Macaca mulatta: one gene and its partners. The protein of the gene in region 1 interacts with the protein of each later gene in a biochemical or structural test. Links are inferred from orthologs where the notes say so. Each region holds a gene or a part of one and is shown in the gene's direction. Other genes may lie near its edges.

Region 1 (6,314 bases):
CACACACACACACACACACACACACATATATATATATAAAAAATATTCCCCAAATTTAAAAAGCAGTTTGGAGATTTTTCCCACGCACAGAAAATCAGAAAATTGGCAACACTCTGCCCCATTTCCTTATGGCAACAATTTAAACAGGCCATGAGCCGTCCACATGGAGACTGGACCTTGAAACAGCAGCTAGTGTTTTGAGCTCTAAGCTAACACTTTGGACTTTCAGTCATGTTTTCTTTCCCCAAACAAATAGAAAAGTTTTATTTCAAAGAGGAAAAGGGTGCAACAGCTGCAACATACATAAAACCTATTTAGTTTTACTTGGGAGTGAGAATCAGGAAACCTGGGCTGTTCTTAACTTAGTTTGGATAAAGAAGGGTAGTAAAGCTGTCCTTATGTCTCTTACCAAGTGGAGAAAATACTGCTGTAGTTCACAGAAATTTTGGGGAGTTTTAGATTCTATGGAAAACGGAAATGCTATTTGTAACTTAGATTTTTTTTTTTGTTTTTTGGAGGAGTCTCGCTCTGTTGCCCAGGCTGGAGTGCAGTGGCATGATCTAACCTACACCTTCCTGGTTCAGTCAATTCACCTGCCTCAGCCTCCTGAGTAGCTGGGATTACAGGTGCGTGCCACCACGCCCAGCTAATGTTTGTATTTTTAGTAGAGACGAGGTTTCACCATTTTGGCCAAGCTGGTCTCAAACTCCTGACCTCAAGTGATCTGCCCACCTCGGCCTCCCAAAGTGCTGGGATTACAGGCATGAGCCACTGCACTCAGCCTAATTTTAAAATTTTTTTTTGTAGAGATGGGGGTCTCCCTTTGTTGCTCAAGCTGGTCTCTGTCTCTTGGGATCAAGGGATCCTCCTGCCTCAGCCTCCCAAAGTGCTGGGATTACAGGCCTGGGCCACTGAAACTGGCCTTCATTACAAATTCATTGAACACACTTTATTTTATCCTTTAAAAAAAAAATTCATTTCAGTAGTTTTGGGGTAACAGGTTGCATGGAAAAGTTTTTTAGTGGTCATTTCTGAGATTTTGGTGCACCCATCACCCGAGCAGTTTACACTGTACAATGTGGCACACACTTTCACTTAAAAGCGTCTACTAGATCTTTTTTTTTTTTTTTTTTTTTTTTTTTTGAGGCGAAGTCTCGCTCTGTCGCCCAGGCTGGAGTGCAGTGGCGCGATCTCGGCTCACTGCAAGCTCCGCCTCCCGGGTTCCCGCCATTCTCCTGCCTCAGCCTCCCGAGTAGCTGGGACTACAGGCGCCGCCACCACGCCCGGCTAATTTTTTGGCTAATTTTTTTGTATTTTTAGTGGAGACGGGGTTTCATTGTGTTAGCCAGGATGGTCTCGATCTCCTGACCTCGTGATCCGCCCGTCTCGGCCTCCCAAAGTGCTGGGATTACAGGCTTGAGCCACTGCGCCCGGCCTACGTCTACTAGATCTTGCTGCCAGATTTCCCATCCCTAAGACACCCGGAGTGTTCCTGAGGCCTTAGTGACTACTGCCTAAAGCTCCACCCAAATCAATTTTATGTTTACAGATAACCGGAGCATCCAATCACCTTTCTCTAAGAGAGTACAAAGATCAGCTCGCGAGAAAGTTCAGACCTCTCATTTCGTTTCTGTTAGACCGGCCTTCCCCCAACCAGACGGAGTCTTGCTCTGCTGCCCAGGCTGGAGTGCAGCAGCGCGATCTCGGCTCACTGCAACCTCCCCTCCCCGGGTTTAAGCAGTTCTCCTGCCTCAGCCACTGGAGTAGCTGGAATTACAGGCGCGCGCCACCACGCCAAGCTAATTTTTTTGTATTCTTAATAGAGATGGGGGGTGGGGGGGGTTCACCATATTGGCCAGGCTGGTCTCGAACTCCTAACCTCATGATTTGCCCGCCTCGGCCTCCCGAAGTGCTGGGATTACAGGCGTGAGCCACCGTGCCCGGCCTCGACGGGGCCTTTTAAATGACGTTAAAAATTGTACATAAAATATGTTTTAGGATAATACCTGTTTTTCTTTGACCAAAGAAAGGCTTGGCTTCAGAGAATGTTAAGACAGAAATAGAGGGGCGTTAAATCCCCTTTTAAGTTTTTTCTAATTTCCAATCTGAGGAGGAAAATAACGTAGTAAAGGGATGCAAGAGCAACCTCGCTTCTTCCACAAGGCCCAGGATGCGAAGCGAACCTGGGCCGCTTGGCTACCGCCCGGTTGCAACCCGGAAATGCAGGGTGCAGTGCGGGGGGTACAGAACCGGCCGACTGTGTTGATCCGGCTCAGAGAAATCCCGCCCTTGCCGCCGCCGCCCACCCATAACGTCCTCCTCGACCCTCCCTCGACCCTCCCTCGCCCCGCCGCTCGGCCCTCACCGAAAGGGGGAGGGCGGTGGAAGAGAGAAGTCAAGGAGCGCACGCGAAGCCCAGCCCCTACCGTGACGTCTGGAGACGCGACGCGTCGCCTCGCAATGCAAATCGGGAAAAGGGGATGAGCTGGGCTGGCTTCCGTCCTGATAGCCAAGGCTAATTCTCCCTCGAGTTCTTGGGAGATGGGCGTTTGGCGAGAAGGCTGGCGTTAGTGAAGCGCGCCGGGCGTCACGGTGAGTGCGGGTCTTGGGCCCTGGCACCTGTCCTCTGGGAAGTCGTCCGCTGTGAACCCCCTCTCCTTCCACCAGCTGCTGGTCACCCGGGAGACAAGCCCTGTCCGCGGAGAGGAGTGGGACAACTCCGAAAGGTAGAACCGGCTTGTGGAGAGGAAGGGCCCAACCTTGAGTCTTTTACGCCACCCATCTAGGATTGCCAAGCGAGTTTCGTGCGGTTTTTCGGTTTTAAAAGGTGGCTTTGACCATTCTTCCGTTCTCTTGGACACTTATACCCGACTTTGACCTCTTTCCTCTTGCTTCCGGTTTTTTGTTTTTGTTTTTTTTTTATTTTTTTTATTTTACTCTCTGCAATCTGCCTACAATCCCAGGCCTTACTACAGCTCCTAAAACTGTTTCCCAGTTTCTCCTCTTCCCTAGTCACACTTCATTTTAGTGAAGTAGGAGTTTAAAGACCCTATAAGCTTATCAGAGTTAAAACTATGACTGCCTCAAATAGAAGCTTTTCCCCGCCCCCCTAAAAAGTGCCTTCCAACCTAGAGTTGTGGGACAAGTTCATTTCGCCGCCACTCCACCTTGGAAATTATCGGAATCCTTACTTGCAGCGATGTGCATTTATATAGAAAGCTGCAGACCACCCTCCTGGGTTTATTTCTTGCCTCCAGTTCATTCTGTGACCTTGAACAAGTCACTTAATCACTAACAAAATATTTACCTGACACGGAGGTGTTGCAGAGCCTAAGGAATTTAGAATTTAAGAGACCTGAGGGTTTCAGATGAAAGGGATTTGTATCTAAAGGATATTACCTTTTCTGAATCTGCGAAGCATCCTTAGTTTTGTAAATATCTTGCTGCAGCCATTAAAAATGCCAAGTGGTTATTTGTTAAGGAAGTGTTCCTGTTTTAGGCTTGCTCTGCTGCGGCTTTGCCATGTAAGCAGATTTTGCATTTCAGCCGATTCTGTTTAAGATTCGTTGGTGAATGTCATTCATGATAGATTTGGGTAGTTTCTCCTTACAACATATCCCTGGACCATTAAGCATATCTGGAAGGTGATATCGGTTGTGTTATGTCTTTATCATGTTGATATGGCTGCCTTGAAATAGGTATTCCTTTTCTTGTGACACATTGGATGCATCTTTAATATTAGATAGTGAAGACCCTGTAGTAGTAAAAATATATATATATACACACCTGTCATTAATGAAATTTTGCACATAGGCATGTATTTTTTTTAGAAAACAATGTATAAGAAAAACTAACAAAAATGTTTTAAAGGTGACTTTTTTAGCATTTCATTTTTTAATATATTTACTTGGACTTTATTAATCATTATGGGCATTTGTTTATTAATGTGGACGTGGCTGGGCGCAGTGGCTCACGTCTGTAATGCCAGCACTTTCCGAGGCCGAGGAGAGTGGATCACCTGAGGTCAGGAGTTCGAGACCAGCCTGGCCAACATGGCGAAACCTGGTCTCTACTAAAAAACAAAATTAGCTGGGCATGGTGGCACACGCCTGTAATCCCAGCTACTCCAGGGGCTGAGGCAGGAGAATCGCTTGAACCGGGGAGGCAGAGGTTGCAGTGAGCTGAGATTGCACCATTGCACTCCAGCCTGGGTGACAAGAGCAAAACTGCATCTCAAAAAATTAAAATAAAAAGCGTGGACATAATGGAAAATAATCAAAATGACTTTTGAGTAAGACAGTTGGAAAATAAAACCAGTACATTAAATTTTTTTCATAAGTCTAGCATTATACTTTATTATGAACTTTTCTACATGAAAATGCGCTCATATTTACGGAAGTGAAAGGAAAAAAAGTCTTCAAGGATGTGTTGCTAATAAAATTAGAAATAATTAAGGAAACATTTAAAAAATACCTTGTTGTTGTCCCAGTTACCTATTGCTGCGTAACAAATGACTCCAAAACACAGTGGCTTAAAACTATAATTTATATCTCTCCTGTTTCTCTGGCCTGCCTGTACTTAGCTAAGTGGTTCTCACCTAGACTTTAATGCGTTTGTATTCAGATAAGCAGCTGAGTTTGGAGTCATCCGAGAGCTCAGCTGGTCTGGACATCCAAAATGGCTAATTCATGTGAAGGCAGTTGATGTTGGCTAGGAGTTCAGCTGGAAATGTCAACTGGAATGCCCACACATAGCCTCTTCACGTGACTTGAACTTCTGACGTGAACAGTATGGTGGTTAGGTTCCAAGAATACATGTTTGAGGAGACAGGAAATAGAAGCTGCGTGTCTCCCAAAAAGCCTGAACCCAGAAATAGGCACAACATTATTTCCAACATACTCTGTTGGTTAGAGCAGTCAGACCAGTATCCAACCCTCACTTTTGAAGGGAAAAATGTCAAAGAATTTGTGGCCATGCTTTGTCTACTGTAATTTTGATGACAAAGTTGTATTGGACTCTTGTTTGCATTTATATAGCAGATGAATAATAAGGTATGCTTCCAATTTCCAATTTCTTTTCTTTTTTTTTTTTTTTTTGAGATGGAGTCTTGCTCTGTCGCCAGGCTGGAGTGCAGCGGTACGATCTCGGCTTTTTGCAACCTCTGCCTCCTGGGTTTATGCCATTCTCTTGCCTCAGCCTCCCAAGTAGCATGTCGCCACGCCCAGCTAATTTTTGTATTTAGTAGAGATGGAGTTTCACCATGTTGGCCAGGATGGTCTCGATCTCTTGACCTTGTGATCCACCCGCCTCAGCCTCCCAAAGTGCTGGGACTACAGGCGTGAGCCACTGCGCCCAACCCATTTCCAATTTCTTTAACCATAATGCATTATGTTTTAATGGCATGTTACAGTTCTCTTTTTTTTTTTTTTTTTTTTTTTGAGACGGAGTCTCGCTCTGTCGCCCAGGCTGGAGTGCAGTGGCACGATATCGGCTCACTGCAAGCTCCACCTCCCGGGTTCATGCCATTCTCCCGCCTCAGCCTCCAAGTAGCTGGGACTACAGGTGCCCACCACCACGCCCGGCTAGTTTTTTGTATTTTTAGTAGAGACGGGGTTTCATCATGTTAGCCAGGATGGTCTCGATCTCCTGACCTCGTGATCCACCCACCTCGGCCTCCCAAAGTGCTGGGATTACAGGCTTGAGCCACCGCGCCCGGCCGGCATGTTACAGTTTTCAAAACATGTTTTTGTATATTTTTTCACTTGATACCTATGGTCACCCTATAGAAGCAGACAAATCATTCCTGTTTCATTTTGCAGATGAAAGTAAACTGAAGAGCAGTGGTGGTCATGTTGGGAGTGATTTATGGAATTTGTTGAAAGTCATATGATTAATAAATGGAAAGTAAGGCCTGCAACAGTTCCATAATATAGAATTTACTAGTACTGAATGATGACATATTATATTAAAGTTATTTAGAATTCTACATTTATAGCCATACTAATTTTTTTTTTTTTTTTTTTTTTTTTTTTTTTTTTTTTTTGGAGACGGAGTCTTGCTCTGTCTCCCAAGCTGGAGTGCAGTGATGTGTTCTCGGCTCACTGCAGTGTCCGCCTCGTGGGTTCAAGCAATTCTGCTTCAGCATCCCAAGTAGCTGGGACCATAGGCACCCACCACCACGCCCGGCTAATTTTTGTATTTTAGTAGAGATAGGGTTTTGCCATGTTGGCCAGGCTGGTCTTGAATTCCTGACCTCAGGTGATCTGCCCACCTCAGGTGATCAGCCTCCCAAAGTTCTGGGATTATAGCCGTGA
Region 2 (5,845 bases), on another chromosome or scaffold:
CCATTCTCCTGCCTCAGCCTCCCGAGTGGCTGGAACTACAGGCACCTGCCACCAAGCCTGGCTAATTTTTTAATATTTTCAGTAGAGATGGGGTTTCACCGTGTTAGCCTGGATGGTCTTGATCTCCTGATCTCGTGATCTGCCTGCCTTGACCTCCCAAAGTGCTGGGATTACAGACGTGAGCCACCATGCCCGGCCTCTTCTGCTTTTTGTGTGTTTTTTTTTTTTGGTTTGTCGAGGACCACTGCTTAAGCCAAGTAGATTTTTTAAGTGAAAGCCTTTCAGAGATTGAGGAAAGTAGATTAACTGATACATTAGAACTTTAACGTTGACTATTACAGGCATGCTTCACTGTGCTCGACTGATTTTTTTTTTTTTGCATTTTTAGTAGAGACGGGATTTCACCATATTGGTCAAGCTGGTCTCGAACCCCTGACCTCAGGTGATCCACCCACCTCAGCCTCCCAGAGTGCTGGGATTACAGGCGTGAGCCACTGCACTCAGCCAATCTAAAAATATTCTAAATGGCTAGTTGAGTTTGTCCAGGATAGGGGTCATAACTGAAGAAGCTTTGGCTATTTAACTGATACTGGTGGTTGCACCTTTCCTTGTCAGACTCCAGTCTAGCTGTCCCACGTGTAGCTCCAGTTTTAAGTCACTTCCATGCCTTTGCTCATGCTTTTGCTTAAACTTGAAGTGTGTTCTTTTTGCTTTCTCCTGATCCATTAAGGTTAGCTCAAATTTGACCTTCCCATTAATTGCTCCTCCTGGGTCCCTGAGATACTTCATTTAGAGTAGCACTTGAGTCTTCGTCGTCTTCTTTTTTTTTTTTTTTTTTGGTTCTTTTTGTCCAGGCTGGAGTGCAGTGGCACAATTTCAGCTCACTGCAACCTCCGCCTCCCGGGTTCAAGCAATTCTCCTGCCTCAGCCTCCTGAGTAGCTGGGACTGTAGACATACACCACCATACTTGGCTAATTTTTTGTGTTTTTAATAGGTTTTGCCATGGTGGCCCGGCTGGTCTTGAACTCCTGGCCTCAAGTGATCTGCCCGCGCGCATTGGCCACCCAAAGTGTGCTGATTACAGGCGTGAGCCACCACACCCAGCCTCCTCCTTCTTTTAAAATAGTTACACATTTGTCCATCCTCCATTTCTAAAGTTTTAAGGTGATTGTGGACTTAGATTATGTCTCTCTTTTTTTTTTTCTATTGGTATCTGGTATCATTTCTTGGGCATAGTACACAGTATTCAGTAGGTGTGGATTTTCTTTTAAAACTGTAAAAGGCAGGCCGGGCGCGGTGGCTCACGCCTGTAATCCCAGCACTTTGGGAGGCCGAGGCGGGCGGATCACAAGGTCAGGAGATCGAGACCACGGTGAAACCCCGTCTCTACTAAAAATACAAAAAATTAGCCGGGCACGGTGGCGGGCGCCTGTAGTCCCAGCTACTCAGGAGGCTGAGGCAGGAGAATGGCGTAAACCCAGGAGGCGGAGCTTGCAGTGAGCCGAGATCGCGCCACTGCACTCCAGCCTGGGCGACAGAGCGAGACTCCGTCTCAAAAAAAAAAAAAAAAAAAAAAAAAAAAAAAACTGTAAAAGGCTTACATGACCACATTTCCGTGGCTTCTGTGTTGCCTTTTATTTTCTTTGCTTCCCTGCCTCCATTAATGTGAAATTAAATTTTATTAAACTTTGAGGTATTGTCCAAGATTTTCTTTTTGCATTAATACTTTGTTAAATATCTCGGGGGGGGGGTGGTTTGTACCATTGGTCCCAGCCACTCAAGAGGCTAAGGTGGGAAGATTGCTTGAACGCAGGAGTTCAGGTCCAGCCTGGGCAACATAACGAATCTCTTAAAAAAAAAACTTGGGGCCGGGCGCGGTGGCTCAAGCCTGTAATCCCAGCACTTTGGGAGGCCGAGACCGGCGGATCACGAGGTCAGGAGATCGAGACCATCCTGGCTAACACAGTGAAACCCCGTCTCTACTAAAAAATACAAAAAACTAGCCGGGCGAGGCGGCGGGTGCCTGTAGTCCCAGCTACTCGGGAGTCTGAGGCAGGAGAATGGCGTGAACCCGGGAGGCGGAGCTTGCAGTGAGCTGAGATCCGGCCACTGCACTCCAGCCTGGGTGACAGCGCGAGACTCCGTCTCAAAAAAAAAAAAAAAAAACTTGGCCGGGCACGGCGGCTCACTCCTGTAATCCCAGCACTTTGGGAGGCCGCGCCTCTGCAGATCGCGCCACTGCACTCCAGCCTGGGCGACAGAGCAAGACTCCATCTCAAAAAAAGAAAAAATAGTAGTGCTCCACATACCTTTAAGTTAATTTTTATTGTATTTGCTTTTTCTTTGTATCATTGTCACTATTACACACTGGAATAACTGAAGAAGAGATTGATGTCTAGCATGTCTTTTCTAATTCTGATTTTGGATTTAATTTTTATAATACATTTATTTAAATACCTTTAGGTTGGCAAAAGCAGCTTTCGATGATGCAATTGCAGAACTGGATACGCTGAGTGAAGAAAGCTATAAGGACTCTACACTTATCATGCAGTTGTTACGTGATAATCTGACACTATGGACTTCAGACATGCAGGGTGACGGTAAGCAAACACTAGGAAGTAAAAGAGGCACCTCTTTCAGTTGCAGGATTTGTTTTTACTCTCTGTAGACATTCCTTGGCATATCTTTACATCAAGCTACAATTTAGACTCACTGCCTGCTCTCTATGAAATTTTAATTATTGCCTTTATAGGAAATGGTGCTAAAGTACCGAGTTCCATTTTGGGGAACTTAGTTTAAGTCTTCCTTTACACTGTTTCAAAGGTTGAGGAAAGGAAAAGTGGAAAGCAAGTAGTTTATTTTATCTTCGTCCAGATTCAATTTTAGGGGGCTGAAGTTAACTGTATTTAAATCCAGATGGTATCAATAGGTATTTATGAAGTTTTTCTCTTTGTTGAAATTTTTTATCTAAAAGGGAACTAATTTCCCATTTACCTCTGGGGTTCAGCAGAGAAATTGTATGTTGGCCCTTGGGTCTTTTTTTTTTTCTTTTCTTTTCTTTTTTTTTTTTTTTGAGATGGAGTCTCGCTGCAACACCCCGGCTGGAGTGCAGTAGCATAATCTCGGCTCACTGCAAGCTCTGCCTCCCAGGTTCAAGCGATTCTCCTGCCTCAGCCTTCCGGAGTAACTGGGGTTACAGGCACCCGGTATCATGTCCACCTAATTTTTGTATTTTTAGTAGAGACGGGATTTCGTCATGTTGGTCAGGCTGGTCTTGAACTCCTGACCACAGGTGTTCCGCCCGCTTCAGCCTCTCAAAGTGCTGGGATTACAGGCGTGAGCCACTGTGCCCGGCTGTTGTTACTTTTAAGAGGTTTTCATTGCAAACAATTTAGCTAGAGTATTTTACTAAACTTAATTGTGATGGTGAGTGTGTGTGAATGTTTACTTTAAATACAGAAGCCCAAATTTGTTAACGTTTGTTGATTTTAAAGGAAATTTAATTCTCTCTCTCTAGAGAATCATTATTATCCATGGTAGATTGTTGAACAGGGGTGGAGAAGAAGACAAATTAGTGTGATATGAGCATTACATTACAAGATAGTTTTACATTTGGTGGTGCTGGTGCTGGTAGGAGGTTGGAAACAAAGTCTGTTGTCAGTTTTAGCTGCGATTCCTTTAAGCATGTTTCTTAAGCTGGGCTGGGCGCGGAGGCTCAGGCCTGGAATCCCAGCACTTTGGGAGGCCGAGACCGGCGGATCACGAGGTCAGGAGATCGAGATCATCCTGGCCAACACAGTGAAACCCCTGTCTCTACTAAAAATAGAACAGGTGTGTTGGCGGGCGCCTGTAGTCAGTCCCAGCTACTCAGGAGGCTGAGGCTGGAGAATTGCTTAAACCCAGGAGGCGGAGGTTGCAATTAACTGAGATCGTGCCATTGCACTCCAGCCTGGGTGACAGAGGGGAGACTCCATCTCAAAAAAAAAAAAAAAAAAAAAAAAAAAAAAAAAAAAAAGTTTCTTAGACTGAAACATATGTCGCGTTGCTTGAGGCTATCTGTAGTGTCTGTTGGGGAAATCGACCTGCTGTATTGTCTTTGGAAGTGTTACACTTTTTGAAAACGCTTCTGAAAGTGGGCACGTATGTGTCTTTTCTCTGAAAGGATCAAATCAGATTTGTGACTTTTGGGTTATGGTACTAAAGTGAGACTCAGCTTTTAATGCTTCCTAGCTCTAGGAAATGTTTAGGATTTGACTAAATCGGGATTGGCATGAGATACTCATATACATAGGACTTACTTACACGCTTGCAATAGTGCCAGATGGAGCCACGGACCACTTCCCAGCGCAGCATTTCAGGCTGCTACTCCCAGTCCTTGGAACTCAGAAACAATTTACCAACTCTGAACAAGTGGCTTCCAGCTTGAAATCTATCCCACTCTGGTTGCGGTGGCTCATGTCTGTAATCCCAGGACTTGGGAGGCCAAGGTGGGATGATGCCTGAGCCTAGGAGTTCAAGACCAGCCTGGGCAACATAGTAAGACCCTGTCTTTAAAAAAATGAAAAGAAAAAAAAGGCCGGGCGCAGTGCTATGTGCCTGTAACCCCAGCTACTTGGGAGGCTGAGGCAGGAGCATTGCTTGAACACAGGAGGTGGAGGTTGCGGTGAGCTGAGATCACGCCACTGCACTCTGGCCTGGGAGACAGAGCGAGGCTTCATAGAGCAAGACTTTATCTCAAAAAAAAAAAAAAAAAAAACTCCAGTGAGGTTGGGGGATCTTGAGGCTGCAGTGAGCCTTGATTGCGCCACTGCATTCTAACTTGGATGACTGAATGAGGTGCCATCTCTTAAGGGAAAAAAATTGTTTTAACAACTATGAAGAAGAATGGCCAAACAGCTGTGGACTCCTAACAGTCATCCCCAGCTCAGATACTAGCATCTCTCTGCCTGTTGATGGAGGGAAAGCACGTGGAGAGTTTGGGAAGCGGGATTGACTTGAGGAAATGATACCCTCTCACCCCTGGGGATGGGTGTTTGAGAGTAAAAGTAATAAAAAGTAATAAAGGTGACTTGACTTGAATATGTGTGTGTGTATGTGTATTTTATTATTTATTTGTTTATTTTTATTTATTTATTTATTTTTGAGACGGAATTTTGCTTTTGTTGCCTAGGCCAGAGTGCAGTGGTGCTATCTCAGCTCACTGCATCCTCTGCCTCCCAGGTTCAAGTGATTCTTCTGCCTCATCCTCCCTAGTAGCTGGGACTGCAGGTGTCCGCCACCACGCCTAGCTAATTTTTTGTATTTTTAATAGAGACAGGGTTTTACTATGTTATGTTGGCCAGGCTGGTCTCAAACTCCTGACCTCGTGATCTACCCATCTCGGCCTCCCAAAGCGCTGGGATTACAGGTGTGAGCCAGCGCGCCCGGCTCATTTTTTGGTTTGTTTTGGTTTGTTTTGTGATGCGGAGTCTCCCTGTGAGCCACCGTGCCTGGCCATTTTCATTATTATTTTTTTTTTAAATAAAAACATTGCCAGGCACAGTAGCTCATGCCTGTAATCCCAGCACTTTGGGAGGCCGAAGTGGACGGATCACCTGAAGTCGGGAGTTCGAGATCAGCCTGACCAACATGGAGAAACCCCGTCTCTACTAAACATACAAAAATTAGCCAGGCGTGGTGGTGGGCACCTGTAATCCCAGCTACTCAGGAGGCTGAGGCAGGATAATCACTTGAACCCGGGAGGCAGAGGTTGCGGTGAGCCAAGATCGCTCCATTGCACTCCAGCCTGGGCAACAAGAGCAAAACTCCCATCTCAAAACAACACATTTGATGCCAGCTCATGAC
Region 3 (5,845 bases), on another chromosome or scaffold:
GAGATTGTCATCTTTGTTCCAGGGGACATTTTAAAAATAAATGTGTTGTGTTTTCTAAAGAAATGAAAAATCTGTGTGTCAATTGACAGTAGTTTTGCCATATTTTAGAGAAAGCATTAAATATCTCCTTACACATCTACTTTGTTTCAATGCAGGATGTTAATGGTTAGTGAATAATCAAACTGGAAAAGATTAAAAAGTATTACAGATGTGGCTGTATGTTTAGTTCAGACACAATTTTTTTTAATGTTTTGTATTTTCAATTTGAAGTTGAGTGCACGGATGCAGAACCCATGGACATGGAGGACTGAGTGTGTGTCCACACATTCTACAATGAATATCATTGTCCTTGATAATTATCCCTTGATATGAACAGATATTATAATATATAATGAAAAAAGGCAGAAGCTATGACAATTTAATCTTATTTTTGGTTCATAAAAATAATTTTGTTAAAGGAAAAGATCTAGAAGAATTAGAAGTCAGAGTGAGGCCGGTGTGGGGGCTCACACCTATAATCCCAGCACTTCAGGAGGCTGAAGTGGGAGGATCATCAGAGCCCAGGAATTTGAGACCAGCTTGGGCAATACAGTGAGACCCCATCTCTTAAAAAAAATTTTTTTAACAATTAGCTGGGCTTGGTGGTATGCACCTGTGGTCCCAGCTCCTCAGGAGGCTGAGGTGGGAAGATTGCTTGAGCCTGGGAGGTCAAGGAGGCTGCAGTGAGCCACAGTTGCACCACTGCACTCCAGTCTAGGTGACACAATGAGATCCTGTCTCAAAAGAAAAAAAAAATCAAAGTGACCATTCTGATGGTAGTTAATTTTTTGAGTGAGAACTCAATCATTAACCAGTTTTCTTACCAGTTTCAGTTTTTGAATAGGCCAACTGGCATTTTTTCTTGTTCCATGGCCACAGCTGCAGATGCAGCTCCTGTTCTGGGAAATGTTTCCTGTTCTTCAACAAATTCTTATTGACTGTTATTTACCCTTGTCAAGTATTCAGAGATGAATAAAATACCAATTTTTCCCTTGAATGGATCATTGCGTTTGTTATTCCTGCTGAGAAAAACAACTCTACTGTTAGAAAGTTAAATTGTACATTTCATTTCTGTCATTTTACAGAATGAAATTTTGTAGCATTTTATCACCCTAAGAAATTATATTGAGTAAACATGTAAATTGACTCCAAAAAAGTTTAGGTAGATTTATTGAAGAGAGATTCATAGTCTGGCCTTAACTATGTTCCAGACTATTCTAATCTTATTTCCTCCTGTCCTCCAAAGATCATTTTCTACCATCTATCAAGTTGCTCTTTTGCCTTATTACTCTGGGATTGTGTCTCATATCTTTCAGGGGATTTCAAACACAGTGATCACGTCTTTCTACTGCATTTTTCTGTTGTTTCATCAACATACTGGGTTTTGTGGATTTCCTACAGTTAAATTTTAGTTATGCATTTGTTAGCATGGCACTAATTTCTGTAGCTTTCTGGGTGGCTCGTAACTCTTATTTTTGATAATAGAGTTTGACCTGCTTAATGCAGTCATTCCTACCAGAGAGGGAACAAACTTCTTGTTGTTGTTGTTCAGACGTAAAAGACTAATAGAAGAAAAGTGACAAATCTTGATAGGACTCAGTGGCTGTTTACTTGGTAGTCCTGTGTCTGTGTGCCTCTGCTTGTTGCCTCTCTGTGTTTATATAGAAAGAACCACATTTCAATAAAAAGGCTTGTGGATGTTTCAGGCCAGATGAAAAGTGGTTGCTTAACTATTATAAATTTGACAGTGCAAAGAGAGTTCTTTATTACTCCCAGGGGAACAGACAAAATTGTTTCAAGTAGGAAGAGTCTGCTCTGAAGCTTCTTGGTCATATTTGAAGATGCTTTTATTTGGATTTTTTGTTACTACATAATAAAGTATTGGTTTACTTACTTTCTCAAAATCAACCAACAAACGAGCTGTAGAGACTAGTCTTACACATTGTTTTTACTTGGATTTTCAAGGGTAATTATTTAAGTAGGTTTTTTTTTTCAGTTGATATTTTTATGGATATAAACAAATGAAAATGTGTGTGTGGTTTTTTTTTTTTTTAACAAGTGTTTTTAAATTTCCATCATATCGTGTACTTCATAGAGGTTCTGGGCCTTGCCTGGGTACTTTCTTTTATTGAGATTTATAATTCAGGCCTAGATTCTTACCCAAATTGAGAATTTTCTTTTTAATAATTGAATTCTCAAAATAAAACTGGAATGTGTGAAAGTAAATTCTCTCAGCACCAAAATTGTGAATTGATTGCATTTTATGAGGCATGGAAAGGACTTTTCCCTAATATTATAAAGTCATTTTGTCACTGGTAGAGGATTGTGACTGCAGGTTGTCCAGGTTCTTGGCATTTTGAAGAAAGAATTGGACAAAATGCCCAGCAAAGGAAAGAAAGATCGAAGCAACAGAAGAACAAAAGCAGAGATTTATTGAAAACGAAAGTACGCCCCACAGTGTGGAAGTGGGCCTGAGCAGCACCTGAAGGACCCGGATACAGAACCTTCTTGGGTCCAAGTACAGTACCCCCTAGAAGTTTCCCATTGGCCGCTTCATGCTCACCTCATGTAAATGAAGTGGAAGCTCACGATCAGTCTGGTTGCAGAAAGCAGCCAACCAGAGGCTGAAATGAAGTTACAAAGGTCACAGTGCTGTGCAACCATCTGATTGGTTGCAAAAAGCAACCAATTAAAGGCTAGGGAGAAGTTACAGTTATGCTTGTATGCAAAGGAAGACTCCGCCCACAGTCAGTCTGACTGGTTGTGGACAGCAACCATTCAGAGGCTGGAGCAGCCATTCAGAGGCTGGTTGTGGACAGCAACCATTCGGAGGCTGAAGTTACAAAGTTGCAAAGGAAGACTGGACTTGTAATCAGTCTGATTTTTTTCGGACACCCAATTTCCCATCTGCTGCACAGAAAACGTGGGGAGTTTGCAAAGGGAGCAGCCTCTGGTCCTTTTATTACTTAGGTGTGGAAAGTTAGGGTTGGTTTTCCTTTCAGTGTAGTTACAAGAAGTCAGCTTGAAAAACAGCCTTAGATTCCCTGCCTCCAGACCCTATTTTCCTGCCTTAGTATCAGGCTAGCTATTACAAGGATTAAGCAGTTCTTCCTCTCAGTTTCCCTTTGTGAATATTCTTTCATTAAATATAAAATAGCCTTTTGATATATGAATAGAAATTGTGCTAAATTTAAAAAATAATTCATATCACTAAACAGATGCTAAAAACTAGAAGAGTATTATAATACTTTTCTTCTACATCAGGAAGCATTCAGAGTTGTCTGAATTGAATGTAAAAGTCCTGGAAGCTCTGGAACTATATAACAAATTGGTGAATGAAGCACCAGTGTACTCAGTCTATTCAAAGCTCCACCCTCCAGCACATTACCCACCTGCATCATCCGGGGTTCCAATGCAGGTGAGCATGTTTTTTGAGAACATTTTCTAAATTATAAACAAGTTTTAAAGTAAAAGAAAGTGTTTTACAGCATAGTATTAAGATTTCTTTTGTATGTAAATAAAATTATAAAATTTATCTTTGATTGTTTCAGTAAATATTGACTGAACAATTAACATTCACCAGAACAACTTAGACAGATACTGACATTTCACAAATACATTATAGTTCAGTTTTAACATGGATGAAAAGACCATTAAGTATGTGAGGGTAGTTCTGGTTCTTCATATGCTTTTGTAAGTATAAAGCATAAATCTTTTATGTAAGTATAAATCCTTTTTGTAAATGTGGAGTATAAATCCTTTGATTTTGGATGGTACCTAGCATATCAGAAGTTCCCCAGGTACCAAGACTTTGCTGCTGCTCAACAAGATTTAACATTTCTTTACAAATTTCCATAAAGATTTATTTGACTCACATGATTATTAACAGGCACAATGAACTTCTAGAGTATGCTTTATACTTCCTTTACTTAGCTGCATGACTTAAATTGTTAAAAATTTGTGCATAGCAAAGATATGATACACATCTAGGAGGTACAGACTCCATAAGCCATCCATGAACATCCGTAAGCCATCTTTTTCCAGTACTTTTCACCTTTTTTGTGTGCTTGCCATATGAAGTGAATACTTTATATTTGTCAGTATCCCCATTCAGAAGCATTTTGAAATTTCAGCCAGTTAGCCAATTGAATTCAGAATGAGCTTGGATGAGCAAAATGCATGTTAATTTATGAACACTGGTATCTAAAGGTACATGTGAAGGAGACACCAAGGAGAAAGGGTAGAATGTGGGTGAATAATTTAGATGACACAACGTAATTGTTAAGTAAAAAAAGAATAGTCACTATGGTAACTGTCACGTCAGACAAGATACATTTATCAAATGTGCCATGCCTTGATCTTTTTGAAAATTAGGAGGGTAAGAAAGATTTCTGGCTGCAAAAGACATTTGGGAGTTACTCAGTTTGCTTCTGTTTTCAGAGTTGTTTGCTGCTGCTGTGAAAGTGGGACAAAAAGCAGTGTCTGCATCGTTGTATGATAAAACTATGTTGGCTTTTTTTTTTTTTTTTTTTTTTTTGAGACGGAGTCTCGCTCTGTCACCCAGGCTGGAGTGTGGTGGCCGGATCTCAGCTCACTGCAAGCTCCGCCTCCTGGGTTCACGCCATTCTCCTGCCTCAGCCTCCCAAGTAGCTGGGACTACAGGCGCCCGCCACCTCGCCCGGCTAGTTTTTTTTTTTTTTTTTTTTTTGTATTTTTTAGTAGAGACAGGGTTTCACTGTGTTAGCCAGGATGGTCTCGATCTCCTGACCTCGTGATCCACCCGTCTCGGCCTCCCAAAGTGCTGGGATTACAGGCTTGAGCCACCGCGCCTGGCCTATGTTGGCTTTTTTATGTGTCTGTAAAGGGTTATTTGCTATTCTGTGTCAGGTTTCGGTGTTTACTTGCATTCTGCTTACTGCATTTTGCCAAGCACAACTCATTTCTCTGAAAAGTTAACTTTCTGTTTGATTCCTCACATAATCTGTATCTACACTATTCACTCAAGCATTTGAAATATTCAAAAGTTTCTATTCTAATTTGACAAAAATACATCTCTACTAGAAGCAATTGGGATAACAAGTTAGTTGTATCTGTGTAGGCTGCTCAGGAACCCTAAACTGCAGAAGAAGCTGATTCTCACAGTCTCAGCCTATTGTCAGTAGATTGTTACATGTCTACTAAGGAGGTAATGTGATTGTACTTAATATAGCTTATTTGGGATTTCTAGCATTCTAAATTTTCAGATAAATGGTCTTTGCTTTAAAAAAATAGCTTAATTTAAAACTGGATTGATGATCATTATGGTATGATATGATATTAAATGTGTGCATTGTTTTGATGCTATATATAGTAGACAGGTGGTAGACCCTGTCCTTAAGGAGCTGTTGTCCTGAAAATAAGTAGGGCGCATATAAATGTCCAAAGAGACCTAAACCATTTTTGCTCTTTCCTGAGGATACATGTCTTTTACCAATAACTCTTCCTTACTTTTGTCCTGTTTGTCTGAAAGGTAAGAGATAAAGTAGACATTGCCAGGGAAGCCCTGGCATCCTTATACCGTTTCTTTTTCAGCTTGTTCTTTTAAGTTTCATTCTTAGGAAGGAGTTGGATGAGTCATCCTGGGATGAGGGTAAAGAAGGTTATCATTCTTATAGTGACTTTAAGTGATGGTGGGCTTCCCTTCAAGGGAGTGTACAGTTTTCTGTGGCTCTACAACAAGACATGTTTACTGAGTAATAGGCAACCTGGATAGATGGCAATCCACTACTTAAAAGTATACCACCTGTCTTTCTCCCAGCTCTCTGTA
Region 4 (5,845 bases), on another chromosome or scaffold:
TTCAAAGTTCCTTTCTTTCATCAGGTTCTAAATGTAACAATAACACTTGTCTTATTTAGTAGCCAACTACAGTAGCAATGCTGCTAGCCTACTTCTGTCTTTACATCAAAAGTTAGTGCTAACAAAACTGCATCAGCACGAGTCAGGTGACTTTATCACTTTTCTTAATATTTTTACATTATTTTCTTCTGTACTCAGATGAAAAAAATATACTTAGAAAAACATCTTAGCCGGGCGTGGTGGCGGGCGCTTGTAGTCCCATCTATTTGGGAGGCTGAGGCAGGAGAATGGCGTGAACCCGGGAGGCGGAGCTTGCAGTGAGCTGAGATTGTACCACTGCACTTCAGCCTGGGCGACAGAGCAGGACTCTGTCTCATAAATAAATAAATAAATGCCTGTGTGTTTGTTTGACAATACGAAATCCAGTAAGTGAGGAGTGTAGAACTGTATTTTACTATAATGTCGAATATTTCTCCTTTCATACCCTCAACAAACATTTATTGATTGCTTGTAATATTTAGGCACATTCCCTCAGGGAACATACAGTCTGGTTGTGGAGACAGACATGTAATCAGACAATTATAACAGAAGCTGAGATTATTGCCTGTTACGATGTTCCAGTCACTGTTCTAAGTGCTATACATGTGGCAATTTGAATGTTTTTTAGAATTCCATTTTTAAATTGTTTGCCCTGAGAATGACAATATACATTTATAACTTTTCATGATCTACTTTGAGTTAATATTTGATGTAAAATATAGAAACTCTGCATCCGTAGAGGTCCATTTATGCTGTAGTTGTCATGTGTATTACCTCTACATACATTATAAGCCCTGGAGGTAATGTTACATACTTTTTGTTTTAAACCCTGAATGAGCCCATCTCATCTAATGTTGGAATCACATGTGTTAATTTAATATTCTAAATAGGCTGTGAAGTGCCCATGAGGTGTAGGTGCTATTATTGTACTCATTTTATTGATGAGGAATTTGAGGCACCAAGGCTAATTTGCCCAGTGTCATCCAGCTAGAAAGTGGTAGATCTGGGATTTGAACTCATGTCTGCCTGACTCCATAACTTACATTCTTAACCACTCATATCACAGTACCTTGTTTAAAGGTGTTATCATAAGAACAAACAAGAGAATGTGTAATTAACAGGTTTAGGGATGCCTCATTGAGAGTGATATTTTAGCTGATTACTGACTGATGTGTTCAAACTCAAAAGGGAAAAAGTGAATGCAGCAAAAGGAGCCATAGTGGGTGAACGTTGTAAGGAGAAGCAAATGAGTGTCAGACTTGTAAAGTACTGGTATATAGACTGCTCAGGAACTGCTGGCAGTTTCTGGTAACTGGTAGAATGATTGGAAATGAGGTTGGTAAGACAGGCGAAATTCTGATTTGCCTTGAATGCTTTGCAAAAACTGAGAGGCCATGGAGCCCACAGGCTTAGAAACTTATAATTCTAGAAGTGTGAATTGATTTATATGTTTGTTTGTTGTACATTCTCTTATTTACACAATTTAATAGAGGCAGTGATATACTGTCAGAATTAGCTACTTGTAATTTGGTTTACAAAATAGGATTTTTGAGTATTTATATCGTTATATATATTTATATGTATATGAGTTCCTGAAGGTAACATCCTGACACTTGATCCAAAAGGATATGATAAATATAACTATTAATAGATATTAAAGAATTTTTAACTATTTATGTTTAAAGTAATTATCTCTTTCTGTCTCCCAGCCCCTTTTCTGGTTTTGGAGTTTTTTTAAACACATTGAAATCTTCTGTAGTCTGTCTTCTCTGATTTGTGTACCATATGCTTTTAGTTGAACCTCTTGACACAAACCTGGGAGGGTATGCCTAGGCTGCCTCCTGTAAGTGTCCGGTTGCTCTCTGTGTCCTCCAATTCGGATTCTTTTCCCTCTCCCTTTAAGGTGGAAGCTGCTGCAGTTTGGATTTCTTTTTTCAGAAATCTGTGCTAGATTGATGAGAAAGGTTTTACAAATTCTTAGGGGTAGGTAAGAGGAGGAGAATTTGATAACAACCGTCAAATACTGTGTTCCTCTTTTTTGTCAGGCTGCAGAACAAGCAAAAGCAAGCCCAGCTCTTGCAGCCAAGGATCCTGGTACTGTGGCTAATAAAAAAGAAGAAGAAGATTTAGCAAAAGGTACGTTTTTAAGTCCCTGATGGTGGGAAGAAGATAAGCCTCTGTTTTTTCTCTGAGATATTTAAAAGATAAAATAAATAGAACTTTATAGCAAAAGCTGAAATCTACTTTGTTGCCCTCCTCAGTATTCTTTCCTTTCCTCTTGAGAGGCAATTACTGTTACATGTGTCCTTTCAGTCTATGTTTTTATGACAGATTTTTACTATACTGTGTATCCAAAAACAGTATCAAGTACTTTTTTGTGTCTAACAAGTTTGTTTTTCATAGGTAGTACACTTGAAGTGCCATTTGCCACTTGCTTTTCTCATGCAACATTATGTTTAAGATCTATTCATGTGACATATCCATTAACGCTTCTGTAATATTCCAGTGTACTAATGAGTGTACCACATTTTTCTATCTTTCTACTGATGGATGTGTGGATTCTTTCTGATTATTACTATTATTATTTTTACTAAAATTAAGCTGCAGTGAGTATTCTTGTACATATTCTCTGTGCACATGTATGTGACTGTCTCTGTTATGTGTGACTAAAAGCAGTATTGTTGGATCATGGCATTGGTACATCTTCGGTTTTGCTAAATGGTTCTATGATTTCCTTTTCCATTAGCAGTGTATGAAAGCTATGATTAATCTCTGACAACACTTAGTAATCTTAAGGGTTTAACTTTTGTGAATCTGGTAGGTTTAAAATGATGTCCTGTTATTTTAATTTTAATTTTTTTGATTGCTAGTGAGACTGAGTTCTTTTTTGTATATTCACTGCTCATGATGATTTTCTTTTGGGTAAATTGTCTTTTGTTAAATAAAATAATGATATGTAGAAGTCTTTATTTGAAATATTAATTTGTTATCTAATTATTGTAGATATCTACTCCTGGTTTTTGACCTTAACTTTGATAATGGTGTATTTTATCAAGTAGAAATTTTAAGTTTTGAGAAGGCCAGAGCTGTTTGCTCTTTTGTTATGATTTTTACTTTTTAGTGGCTTTTAAAAAATACTGTTCTCTACCTCAGGGTCCTAAAATATAGTTTTCTATATTGACTTTTAGTAGCTTTAAAGTTTTGTTTTCATATTGGTTCTTTTATTAATCTAAAACAAGAGTGGAGGAGCAGAAAGGGCTCTGGGTTGAGTTGGAAGCAGGATAATCAATGCACTGAGATTACATTTCAGAGCCTGAATGACATATGGTGATGGTCTGCACTGGGGGAGTAGTGGTGGAGATAGAGGAGACACATTTGAGATCTATTTTGGTGGATTTGTTACATTGAGTCTTTAGACTGCTAAGAATTACCCTTGGAGCAATAAAATCCTGATTCTCCAAGATTAAGGCTTTGATTTAGTAAGTCTGCAGTGAAGCTTGATACTCTTGACTTTCCAGGCAATTTTGATGATTATTTTGAAAACTTAAGCTATAGGAATACATTTAAAAGGTCAAGGAAAATGCAAAATACCTGCAGCTGAAAAAGAAAAGGAGATCTAAGAGTTTGTATTTTTTATTACCCAGAATAATTTACATTGTATTTGTTCAGTAAAAATAGGAATTACCACGCTGTTCCAATTTTGTTAATTTATTTTTAAACTTTCAGTTGTGAATGAATGAATAAAACTGACAACATGATTTTTGTTCAATATATCAGGATATGTTCTAGTTTCTAACTATGCTGTTGAAGGAAGAATACCTTTTACCTTGATGTCTTTTTCTACTTCTTCAGATTGTTGGATATAATAACATTTTGGATTTTTAAAAACTCATTGTTTTCTAGCCATTGAGTTGTCTCTCAAGGAACAAAGGCAGCAGTCAACCACCCTTTCCACTTTGTATCCAAGCACATCCAACCTCTTAACTAACCACCAACATGAAGGCCGAAAAGTTCGTGCTATATATGACTTTGAAGCTGCTGAAGATAATGAACTTACTTTTAAAGCTGGAGAAATTATTACAGTTCTTGATGACAGGTAATGTTAATATTACATTTAAAATTTGTATGAAAGTATGTATGGCTTCGGTGTTTCATATTATTCCTGTTGATCGCAGTTACCAAATATAATAATAAATATTGACCCAGATGCTTCTCTGTATGGCAGACAGTTGGCTGATTTGCTTGTGTTATACTCAGTGGATTCTTATTTTGTTTAATTTTTTTCTTATTTATTTCTTAGTTTTTAATTTGTTTTGGAGGCGTAGTTTAATCTATTCATTTTTGGTTCTACCTAATAATATAGATTGTTACATTATTTAAAAAGGTACAGTTCTGGAAAAACACTGAGTATGTATATGTACTTAATGGAATTTGTAAGAAACATATAATCTATTGAGTTTTTATACACAGAACAGTATGTCCATATGAAACAACTTTATTTTATATGGAATTATACGTTTATTCAGGAGGTGATACGGTGCATCAGTTTTTTTACTCTAGCTTTGTGATGTTTTACTTGAAAATGAATTGTTACTGATGCTTGTTACTGATAATGCAGTATTGAAATTTACAGGTGTTTTTAAAAAATCAGCTCAAATTGATTTAAAGTTCTTCCTGTAGTATCTCTCTTACTACCTTAGTCCATTTGGGCTGCCATAACAAACTACCATGGACTAACTGGTTTAAAAACAACAGGAATTTATTCCTCACAGTTCTGGAGTATAAGTCCATGGTCAAGGACCCGACAGATTGACTGTATGTGGAATGCCCACTTTCTGGTTTGTAGAAGGCTGTCATTTTGCTGTGTCCTCCCGTGGCAGCAGGAGCAATGAGCTTTCTGGGGTCTCTTTTATAAGGTTGCTAATCCCGTTCATGACCTAATCATTTTCCAAAGGCCCCCCCTTGTGATACCATTGCTTTGGGGGTTAGGATTTCAACCTGTGAATTTTGGGAAGACACAAACATTCAGACATATTTTAACATTTTTTTTTTTTATTTGTTTGTTTGATTTTTTGAGTGGAAGAAAATGAAGTAAAATTTGAGCTGGTTGGCTGGAAATTGCACAAAACCTTGCATCTGTTCTTTCAAAAACATTTATTAAGTGCTTGCTAGCTTTCCATATACTAGAGTTTACCTAGGAGTGTACTCTTTGTGAATGTTTTACACTGTGAACAGCGTCATCTTTCATATTTGTTCTGTTGGGAGATAAAAAGAAAAACCTTGCTAATGTGTACTGGAAAGAGCAATGATTTAGGAATGGAGACTGAAAGTGAGAGCCTGTCTTTATATCTCATTACAAAGACTTCTTACTCTGGAGCCTGTGAACCACCTGAAGCTGACAATTTTTTCATATGGGTACCTCTTTTTTGGGAGAGAGTCCATAACTGCAAAGCATGCATCCACAGTCAAAAGGATAAACAACCCTGTGTTTAATAGCTTCTTACCTTTTCTGAGGCTTCTTCTTTTGTAATAAAGGAAGATTCATTGGCCTTTTCAGTGGGTTATTGTGAGATTCAAATTTTGTAATAGTGTAAGTTAAATACTACAAAAGATAAAGATTTATAGAAATAAAAATGTTGTGGTAAAGCATTGTTTTCTGTTTGTCATAGTGATCCTAACTGGTGGAAAGGTGAAACCCATCAAGGCATAGGGTTATTTCCATCTAATTTTGTGACAGCAGATCTCACTGCTGAACCAGAAATGAGTAAGTATTTTCCAGCCTGCCAATAAATAATGTTTTCTAATC

The links.
Region 2: the proteins of USP8 (region 1) and YWHAE form a complex in vitro, tested with the Homo sapiens proteins (2 studies listed by BioGRID). The link is inferred for Macaca mulatta from reciprocal best matches to the Homo sapiens genes USP8 and YWHAE.
Region 3: the proteins of USP8 (region 1) and STAM2 form a complex in vitro, tested with the Homo sapiens proteins (3 studies listed by BioGRID, with this or other methods). The link is inferred for Macaca mulatta from reciprocal best matches to the Homo sapiens genes USP8 and STAM2.
Region 4: the proteins of USP8 (region 1) and STAM form a complex in vitro, tested with the Homo sapiens proteins (2 studies listed by BioGRID). The link is inferred for Macaca mulatta from reciprocal best matches to the Homo sapiens genes USP8 and STAM.

Annotation. Positions count from the first base shown.
Region 1 is NC_133412.1:27,748,728-27,755,041, forward strand, and holds the start of USP8 (ubiquitin carboxyl-terminal hydrolase 8), read left to right. Parts: upstream 1-2,543; 5' UTR 2,544-2,592; exon of another isoform or gene 2,593-2,726; intron 2,727-6,314. UniProt on the Homo sapiens protein: Hydrolase that can remove conjugated ubiquitin from proteins and therefore plays an important regulatory role at the level of protein turnover by preventing degradation. Converts both 'Lys-48' an 'Lys-63'-linked ubiquitin chains.
Region 2 is NC_133421.1:2,893,891-2,899,735, reverse strand, and holds part of YWHAE (14-3-3 protein epsilon), read left to right. Parts: intron 1-2,464; coding exon 2,465-2,601; intron 2,602-5,845. UniProt on the Homo sapiens protein: Adapter protein implicated in the regulation of a large spectrum of both general and specialized signaling pathways. Binds to a large number of partners, usually by recognition of a phosphoserine or phosphothreonine motif.
Region 3 is NC_133417.1:57,055,638-57,061,482, reverse strand, and holds part of STAM2 (signal transducing adapter molecule 2), read left to right. Parts: intron 1-2,785; exon of another isoform or gene 2,786-2,837; intron 2,838-3,303; coding exon 3,304-3,457; intron 3,458-5,845.
Region 4 is NC_133414.1:19,266,764-19,272,608, forward strand, and holds part of STAM (signal transducing adapter molecule 1), read left to right. Parts: intron 1-2,084; coding exon 2,085-2,175; intron 2,176-3,942; coding exon 3,943-4,135; intron 4,136-5,708; coding exon 5,709-5,803; intron 5,804-5,845. UniProt on the Homo sapiens protein: Involved in intracellular signal transduction mediated by cytokines and growth factors. Upon IL-2 and GM-CSL stimulation, it plays a role in signaling leading to DNA synthesis and MYC induction. May also play a role in T-cell development.